2 linked regions of the Oryctolagus cuniculus genome follow. The protein of the gene in region 1 interacts with the protein of each later gene in a pairwise test. Links are inferred from orthologs where the notes say so. Each region holds a gene or a part of one and is shown in the gene's direction. Other genes may lie near its edges.

What was found.
Region 2: the proteins of LRRC7 (region 1) and NQO2 interact in a two-hybrid assay, tested with the Homo sapiens proteins (2 studies listed by BioGRID). The two-hybrid records come from large-scale screens. The link is inferred for Oryctolagus cuniculus from reciprocal best matches to the Homo sapiens genes LRRC7 and NQO2.

Annotation. Positions count from the first base shown.
Region 1 is NC_091438.1:102,839,893-102,843,800, reverse strand, and holds the start of LRRC7 (leucine-rich repeat-containing protein 7), read left to right. Parts: upstream 1-1,644; 5' UTR 1,645-1,831; coding exon 1,832-1,890; intron 1,891-3,908.
Region 2 is NC_091436.1:167,062,691-167,066,598, reverse strand, and holds the start of NQO2 (ribosyldihydronicotinamide dehydrogenase [quinone]), read left to right. Parts: upstream 1-1,290; 5' UTR 1,291-1,352; intron 1,353-1,940; exon of another isoform or gene 1,941-2,295; intron 2,296-3,908. UniProt on the Homo sapiens protein: The enzyme apparently serves as a quinone reductase in connection with conjugation reactions of hydroquinones involved in detoxification pathways as well as in biosynthetic processes such as the vitamin K-dependent gamma-carboxylation of glutamate residues in prothrombin synthesis.

The DNA of each region.
Region 1 (3,908 bases):
CGGGAGCAGGCGAGCATTTCCATTCTCTGCCAGACTGGGCTTTTTCTCCTCATAATTTGAGGAAGCCCGAGTAGAGGTCAGGGGGGCAAGCGAGGATTTCCTCAGAAGCGGCCGAGAGCTGTGAATATGGTCACCTGCGCCTATCATTCTAAAATCTCCTTGACATTTTTCACACTTTGAAGCAGCTGCAGCTGGTGTCGTCGGAAAAGGGGGTGGGAAAAGAGGGGGCGGGGAGAGCGGGGAGGCGAGAGCCACGAGCAGCGCCTCCTCGCCTGCCAATCCTGGCACCTGTGCGCCGAGCCGCTGCACTGAGGAAGACCCCACTCCGGGCGAACCCCGGGCTTGAAGCCACGGACACCCAGCCTCCCGGCCGCGGGTTCGCGCAGGCGGGGGCTGCAGCTGCCCACTCGGACCACCGCAGTAGCCTGCAGCGGCGGGAGCGCACAGCCCCCTCAGAGCTGCCCACTGCGCTCCGGCCCCCGGGGATCCTCGCCCCGCGGAGGCGCAGCTGCGGGCAGAGCGTGGTACGGAGTTGGGTGCCCGATTCGCCTCGCCTGCTCGTCTCTTCTCCGCCCAGGATTTATTGTCTGTGGAGCCTTCTGGGGGTGGGGAAGGAGCTGCGCCTCCGCCACCGCCACCGCCGCCGCCGCCGCTGCCGCTGCTGCTGCGGTCGCTAGCGCGGCGCGCAGGGCAGGCGGAGGCTGGGGAGTGGACGCGCTCCTGCCTCCCCCGCCGGCGCTTCGGGCTTCCCCTCGGCGCTTCCCGCGGGAACCTCTCCAGCCGTCCACCTGAAGGGCACCGGCACCATGGTCTAACGTGGCACCTGCCTGGAATCCCCTCTTTCTCCTCCTCGTCCTCCTCCTCCCCTCTCCTCCTCCTCCTGCGAGGACCCTCGCGCCCACTCCACTGCGGACCACCGAGCACTTTAAGGAATAATCCTTGGCAGCTGCACCTCTCTCGCTCTCCGGAACCTCATGGGCAGTTTCTCCCACCGGCCATGTGAGTAAGGCACTTTCTCTCGGTGACTGAGGGGACTGCGGGGGTCTCCCCGGAGGTGAGGGTCTCCCTCCCCCCCGGGGGGGGCGGGGGCGGGAGGGCGCGAGGCTGGGGCGCTCGTTCCGAGTAGCTCGCACGGTGGCCGCGGAGGCGGCGGCGGGGATGTGGTAGGTTTCAGGGCTTTTGGAAATTGGGTGCTAACTGGGCGGGTGCACGGGAACACCGAGTGGTCTGGGCTGGCGAGAGACCCTAAAGGGTTACATACTGCGAAAAGGAGAGGTAAAGAGCGAACGTTGGGAGCTGGTGCTGGGACCACTGCTCCAGCTGAGGTTTGGCTAAAGCTCCTCTTCGTTATCTTGGGCATCTCGGTTTGCTTTTGCCAGGAGGTGTCTGAGGGATGAAGCGCGTGTTTAATCTCTCTCTCTCTCTCTCTCTCTCTCTCTCACACACACACACACACACACACACTTGTGGCAGGTTGCACTTGTCCCTTTATTGTGGAAGGTGTTGGATGACTGTCTTAATTCGTATGGATTTGACAAATGCAGTTAGGAGATCTTTATGCCATTGGGGTTCGGTGGGAAAGGGTGGGGTTTGTGGGGATGGAGTGGAGGAAGGACCATGACAGGCTGGGGGACAGAGAGAAGTGGGGTGGCGGTAGGGTGAACGCTTTCCCTGGGAGTCAGGGAGAATGATGGCCCCCTCCGCTGAGCTACACAACTCCTGCCTGCACATCTCCTTTGTGTTGCACTGAGAAGCTGGTGAACCTGCACTATTCCCCATCCAGCCGGGGCCCCCTTCAGCATTTTGCATCCTCCTTTCTGAGGCGTTTAGGATGCAGGACTTGGTTCGGATCCTACGAGGAAAGAAGAAGGGAAGCACATTAGCATTAAGGTGATCCTGGCACCCTGGCTCGCGGGCAGTTAGATTGGCTACTGGCGGTCTGCAGTTTTACTGTTTGCGGAGTCAAGAACAGGGGCGGCGGGTAGGGGGTGCATGGATTGCTTTTAAAGACAGTGTGACTTCATAATAGACGAGATGGCTGCAAAATTGCTTCATTACACTACTTCTCGGCCATCAGGGCTGAATAAAGGACCCGCCTCCGCCCTCTCCTCCCTTTCCTCTCTCGCAGCCTCCTCCCCACCAAGGCACAAAGGGAACGAATTGGGGAGGGGGGGCGGGGGCGGGAGCGCGCAGCGGGAGGCGGAGAAGGGAAGGGGTCACTTTCACAACTCCCGGGAATGGGCTTCAGAAAGGAACCATCTGCGACTCCCACGTTCCTTTCGGAGTTCTCCTTCCAAAAGCGAGGGGGGTGGGGTGGGATGGGTGACACACGGGGGTCTTCCACCTGCTCTTTTCGGTTACTTTCCCAATACACCTTGGACATACCGAATTTACTTGCAGGGGTAACTGGGTCAGCAGGTAAATATACGTACCTGTATACGTTGAAATGTAGCCCTCGTGATGGATGAAAAGCAGTTTGTGTGTGAGCAAAATTTCTAAGCACAATAGAGATTTTATAGCGTGGGCGAGAAGAGTGCATTCCAGCGAAAGCAGGACACGTGATCCCTCCAACGGGAGAGATACAGTGTTAGGAACTCGGTTTTCTTTGTTCCAGGCTGAGCCTATGAGATGCTTAGCATCCCGGCTGCTTAAGTCGTTCTATAAAAGGGCAAAATAGTCAAGTTGGCCAGAGGTGAGAATAAAGGGGGAAAAGATCATGCGTAAATCGATAAGCTGTGAAGGGCTTGAAACCTCCTCTGCCATTTCTTTTTTACTGCCCACCTTCTGTCTAACCCCTCCCCCCAGCCGGCCCCCTATTTAAAAATCAGGCATTTCCAATGGGAAAGCGGTGGAAAAGTTCTCCAGCCCCTTCACACGTGGGCTCTTCAGCGCCTCAGAACCTGCCTGGATTCCAAACAGAACTTACCACCTCTCCAGTCCCAGTGTCACGCCTCTATCCTGGGCTTCATTAATCTGACTTCCGGATTCTAAGGGAACCACCAGGAGATCTTTTTTGCAAAAGACAGTATGATACTCAAGTCCCTGCCTCCTGGAAACCCCTGATCCCAGCTAGGAAAGAATGAGAAAGTAGGGATGTAGGAATGTTTATTTTTCCTTAGGAATATCAAGACAAAAGCATACTGGAGGTGTGTTTAGCAAGGACTGCATTTGGACTCCTGTGTTATCTGAGGGCTGTGAAATGTCCTACGGTCTGGTTATTCATTAATTTAGTGGAGTTAGAACCTACTGCCTACCCAACACTAATTTAGAGTGACCTGACTTGGAGATTTCTTGTATCATCTTTACTCCACTTTTTATAAGCCATCTTAATGGGCTGAAGTTTTTTAAACTGTGGGCTATTTCTGTCTCCTACTTCATTGCATCATACTAACTTGTGTGGTAAGGAAAGCAGAATCAATTTCCATAACATATCATGAGAACTCCTTATACATTTTTTAAACATTTGACTGTCCAAGAAAAGATGCGTACTTAACCATGGCAACCGTTACGTTCTCCATCACTTATGCTTGCACATATGCAGCTTCAGAATTAGAAACAACTTCCTAAGGAAACAGATCTGGTCCAATTACAGTAGCCATGTTTTATTCAGAATTTTAGCATAGCTTTAGGCTGACATTAACATTTTCTTAATTAAAATCTAATTCTACTTTCTTTCACGAGCTTTTAATTTTTTTAATTCCTCTGTAAAATATAGAACATAGACCTAAAGTATTGTTGTGTTTGAATTTATGCTTTGGATTTTTTTTAAAAATGGAAAGATACAAATTAATATGAATCCTTATTTCTTAATAGAGTTATTAACCATATTATCTACCTGGTGTTAATTTTTCGGGATATTTCTCAGCCCTTCTTTCAATACATAATATTGTATGATACTATTTGATGTA
Region 2 (3,908 bases), on another chromosome or scaffold:
ATATGTCTCTTTCTGTCTCTCTGCCTTTCAAATAAAATAGAACAAACTCTAAGAAGAATAGGGATTTATGTGGCTCATGGTCCTGGAGGCAGGGAGGTCCCAGGTTGAAGTGCCACATCTGAGGAGCACTGTCTCCCTGGTTGGGGTGGGGGGTGGCTCTGGGAAACCCAGAGGAGCACACACTGAGAGGGACACATATGAAAGACAAGGAGCAAACTGGGCTTCGGAACAGGCCGGCTCTCGAGATAAGCCAGTAACTCATGAATCCATGCGTCCGTTCATGGCACAGCCCTAGTCACTGCTGCGAGCGTCCACCTGGCCCCACCTTTTTTTTTTTTTTTAACTATTTATTTACTTGAAAGGCAGAGGGAGGGAGGAGAGGGGAGAGAGAGAGAGAGAATATCCTCCATCTGCTGGTTCACTCCCCAAATGGCTGCACCTGGGACTGTCTGAAGCCAGGAGCTTCCTCCAGGTCTCCCACGTGGGTGCAGGGGCCCAAGCACTTGGGCCATCTGCCACTGCCTTTCCCAGGCACCTTAGCAGGGAGCTGGCTCAGAAGTGGGGCAGCTGGGACTCAAACTAGAGCACGTACAGATGCAATGCCAGCAGCACAGGCGGCGGCTTTTCCTCGCTACATCATGGCACCAGCCCCTGGCCCCACCTCCTAACACCCCACAGTGGGAAATAACTTCAGCCTGATTTTTAGCGAGGACATTCAGACTCCAGCACCAACCTAGCTGAAGTAGGATCCCTAGCTCCTAAGCAAGAAAGTGCCTGTCCAGTGAGCCCTACGGACAGAGCAAGTGGGCTGGGTGAGGGGCTGGAGCATCAGGTCACCCTCTGACTCCTGCACCCCAGAACACGTTCTCTTTCCCCGTAATACACTGGCTCTCCCACAATATCACGCCCTCTTACACCCTAATGCACACGCTCTCTCAATCCTGAACACACACCGTCTCGTACCCCCTACTGTCTTCTCCAAAGGCAACACGGGATCTTCACAGGGACTGCTGGGGTTCCCACACTCCCAGCTTTCCAAGCAAACGGACAACACAGTCCTTTCGCTCATTTGCAGGCTGTAGTAACTTCACTGGAGGCCCCAGCAGGCGTGGGTGAAGTGGGGACGCATCCGTCCCGAATACAGCTTTCTTTTCCTTTTCACATTCTGACTGAACAAAAGTGAACTGCTGGCCTTGTGACTCATTATAGAGTGTCAGTTCAATTCCACGGGTAGATAATGCTTGTTGGAAAATTCCAGAAACGCCTTGAGCTAGCCGGCTAGAGTTGCAGAGTAACCTGACCCGCCCCAGTCAGCAGGACGGCAGAGAAATGGTTGAGACTGCAGATCCCAGGTAAAGAGGGATAGGGAGGAAGCGTGGGCTCCTAGCGGAAACAGCCAGGCTTCTATCCAGCCGGGCGCCACCAAGCGGCCCTGGCGTGCCTGGACGGCCGCCTCCCCGGGCCCTTCCGTGATTGACACATGGCTGAAGCTGTGTCCCCAGTGTAAGGTTTGGTCTCCTTTCCTTTCTGGGAGAAGCTGGGAGTTCAGGCAGTAGCCTGCTTAGCCTGCCGCCTCCCCTGGCTACTCGCAGCCTGAGTAAACCTCTCTCCGTTTCTTTCACCCGAGTTCTTATCCTCGGAGTTACTGGATTCTCTCTCTTGGGTTGGACAGGGCACCAGTGACCCACTGGCCGTGCTGTGTCTGTTTCCTTCAGACTTGCACTGAGCAAGGAATGACACCAGGTGCTGGCAATGCGAAGCCTGAAGACCCCCGCGTGTGCTGGAATGGTGCTAAGTGCGAAGGCAGGGAACAGGAGAAGTAGCGGGGGGGGGGGGGGGGGTCAAGGACGCTGTCCCGGGGGCTCTGACAGCTGAGCCCAGGTCTGCAGAAGTTACGCTGAGGAGCTTTCTTTCATCATGCAGATAGTGGGAGCTGGGTAGCCACGTGGCAGAGCCACATCTTAGCAAGCCTGCTGTGCCACACTGCCACAGTGTGGACACGGGTGGGAGCGAGACCCAAGGCGAGGAGCACCAGGCCAGCAGCTGTAAAAAGGGAGAAGACACAGGACATGGGGATTGCTGGGAGAGAGTGTGAGGAGGGAGGAATCCCGCGTGACGCTTAGGGGACTGCCCTGCACCAGCTGGGACCACAAGCAAGACAGGGAGAACGGGGACGCTCCGTGTCTCCCCAGCCCCAGACTGGTCCCGGCGTGCGGTGCCTGCTGGCAGCGGACAGAGGAGGCGGGGTTCAAAGAGTTGGCCCGGGGCCCCTGGACAAGTGGAGGAAGCGACAGGGTGAGTCACCGAGGGTGGCCACGGGGTTCTGGGCAGAGCAGGGGGGCAGTTCCGGGAAGGGCTCTCATGGGCAGGCGGCTGAGCTAGACCGAGAGAGAGGACAGGGTCCGCACTAAAAGCAGCTGGGATCCCCGGGCCTCCCACGAGGCCCGCGCTGGGTGGCCGGGCCCCAGGCACAGCCCTAGCCTGAGCGAGAGCGCTGCAGCAAGACTGCGGGATCCCTCACCCACTCCGGGGGCGTCGTTTCCTCCCGCTAACCCCGTGGCGCTAGCCGCGCCCCGGGCCCGCCTGGCAGGAGCCGGCTGCTCTGAGGTCACCGCCCCACTGCGCCCAGCAGGTTTCACCGGGAGGAGGGGCTGCGACCCTGGGGATGAGGCTGGGGCTGTGTCTGGGGGCCGGCCTAGAAAGGGTCGCCGGGGGCCCAGGCCGGAGAGAGGAGGGCCAGGGGACGCCTAGTACCTGCCCAGGAGGCCGGGCTCCCAGTGTCTGCCACAGCGCCCTCTTGACTTGATTCAGCACTAGCCTCCGCCTGTAGTTCCGCTCGCTCCTCGGTTTCCAGTTTCCAGCAGAGGGGGCCGCCGCACTTGGCAGTCGCCGGGGAGCGCGCGGCGCGTCTTCCGCCGGGAACAGGAGCAGGGTCCGGCCCCGCGAGGAGCAGGGACCCGCGCTGCATCCGTGCACGCCCAGGTCCACGTACGTGCTGGGCCTGGCACTGTCCGCGGAAACCACCGCGAAGGCCACGCTCACGCACGTGGACCGGTCGTACCCGCCCAGGTCACAACGAGACGGGCGGCGTGCGTGGTCGGCGCTCAGCAAGTCCAGCAGCCCCGCGTTCTGCTGGCGCTCCAACGTTTGGTTAGATGTTGGAGACCCTACCCATACCCTAGAGCGCTTCTACAACGCATTCCCAAGTAAGCCCCAGATGTCAGTTCCCCGAGTGCAACCGCAACGTGGTTCACATTCTCCTAGATCTCAAAACCCTGCTCCGTGCGTCTTAAGAGGTTTGGGCTGGCCAGTCACTACAACTGTTCTCAAAGAAGTCAAGATCTAAATGATTGATAAGGCAGAATGATAGGGAGGGAGGGGCACCATCTTCCATCCGCTGGTTCACTCTCCGAGTGGCCACAACGGCAGGAGCTGGTCCGGCAGCGGCCAGGATGCTGGGAAGCCATCCCCTGTCCGGGGTGGGTGGCAGGGGCTGGTCCGGCAGCGGCCAGGATGCTGGGAAGCCATCCCCTGTCCGGGTGGGTGGCAGGGGTCCAAGCACTTGGCCATCACTGCCTTCTTGGGCCTGCTAACAGCTGGATGGGAAGTGGAGCAGCAGGAACGACCGCGCTGGCACACGGATGCCTGGCACGGGCAGCAGGCTCTCTCCCTGCGCGGCAGTGCCGGAGCCCATCTTCCTGGCAGCTCCCTCTGGGTCCCGGGCTGAGCGCCCTGGGGTGGGGTGCCGGGAGCACTCCCCCACTTCTGCACCCTGTGTCCTGGGCAGTGGTGCCCTCGTTCCGGTAGATGCACTTACACGGACACGTCGATCACAGCCACCTTCCTGTTCTTGGGGCTCGCTGAGCGCTCTCTGGGCACCCGCAGCGTCCCTGCTTGGACTCCCGCAG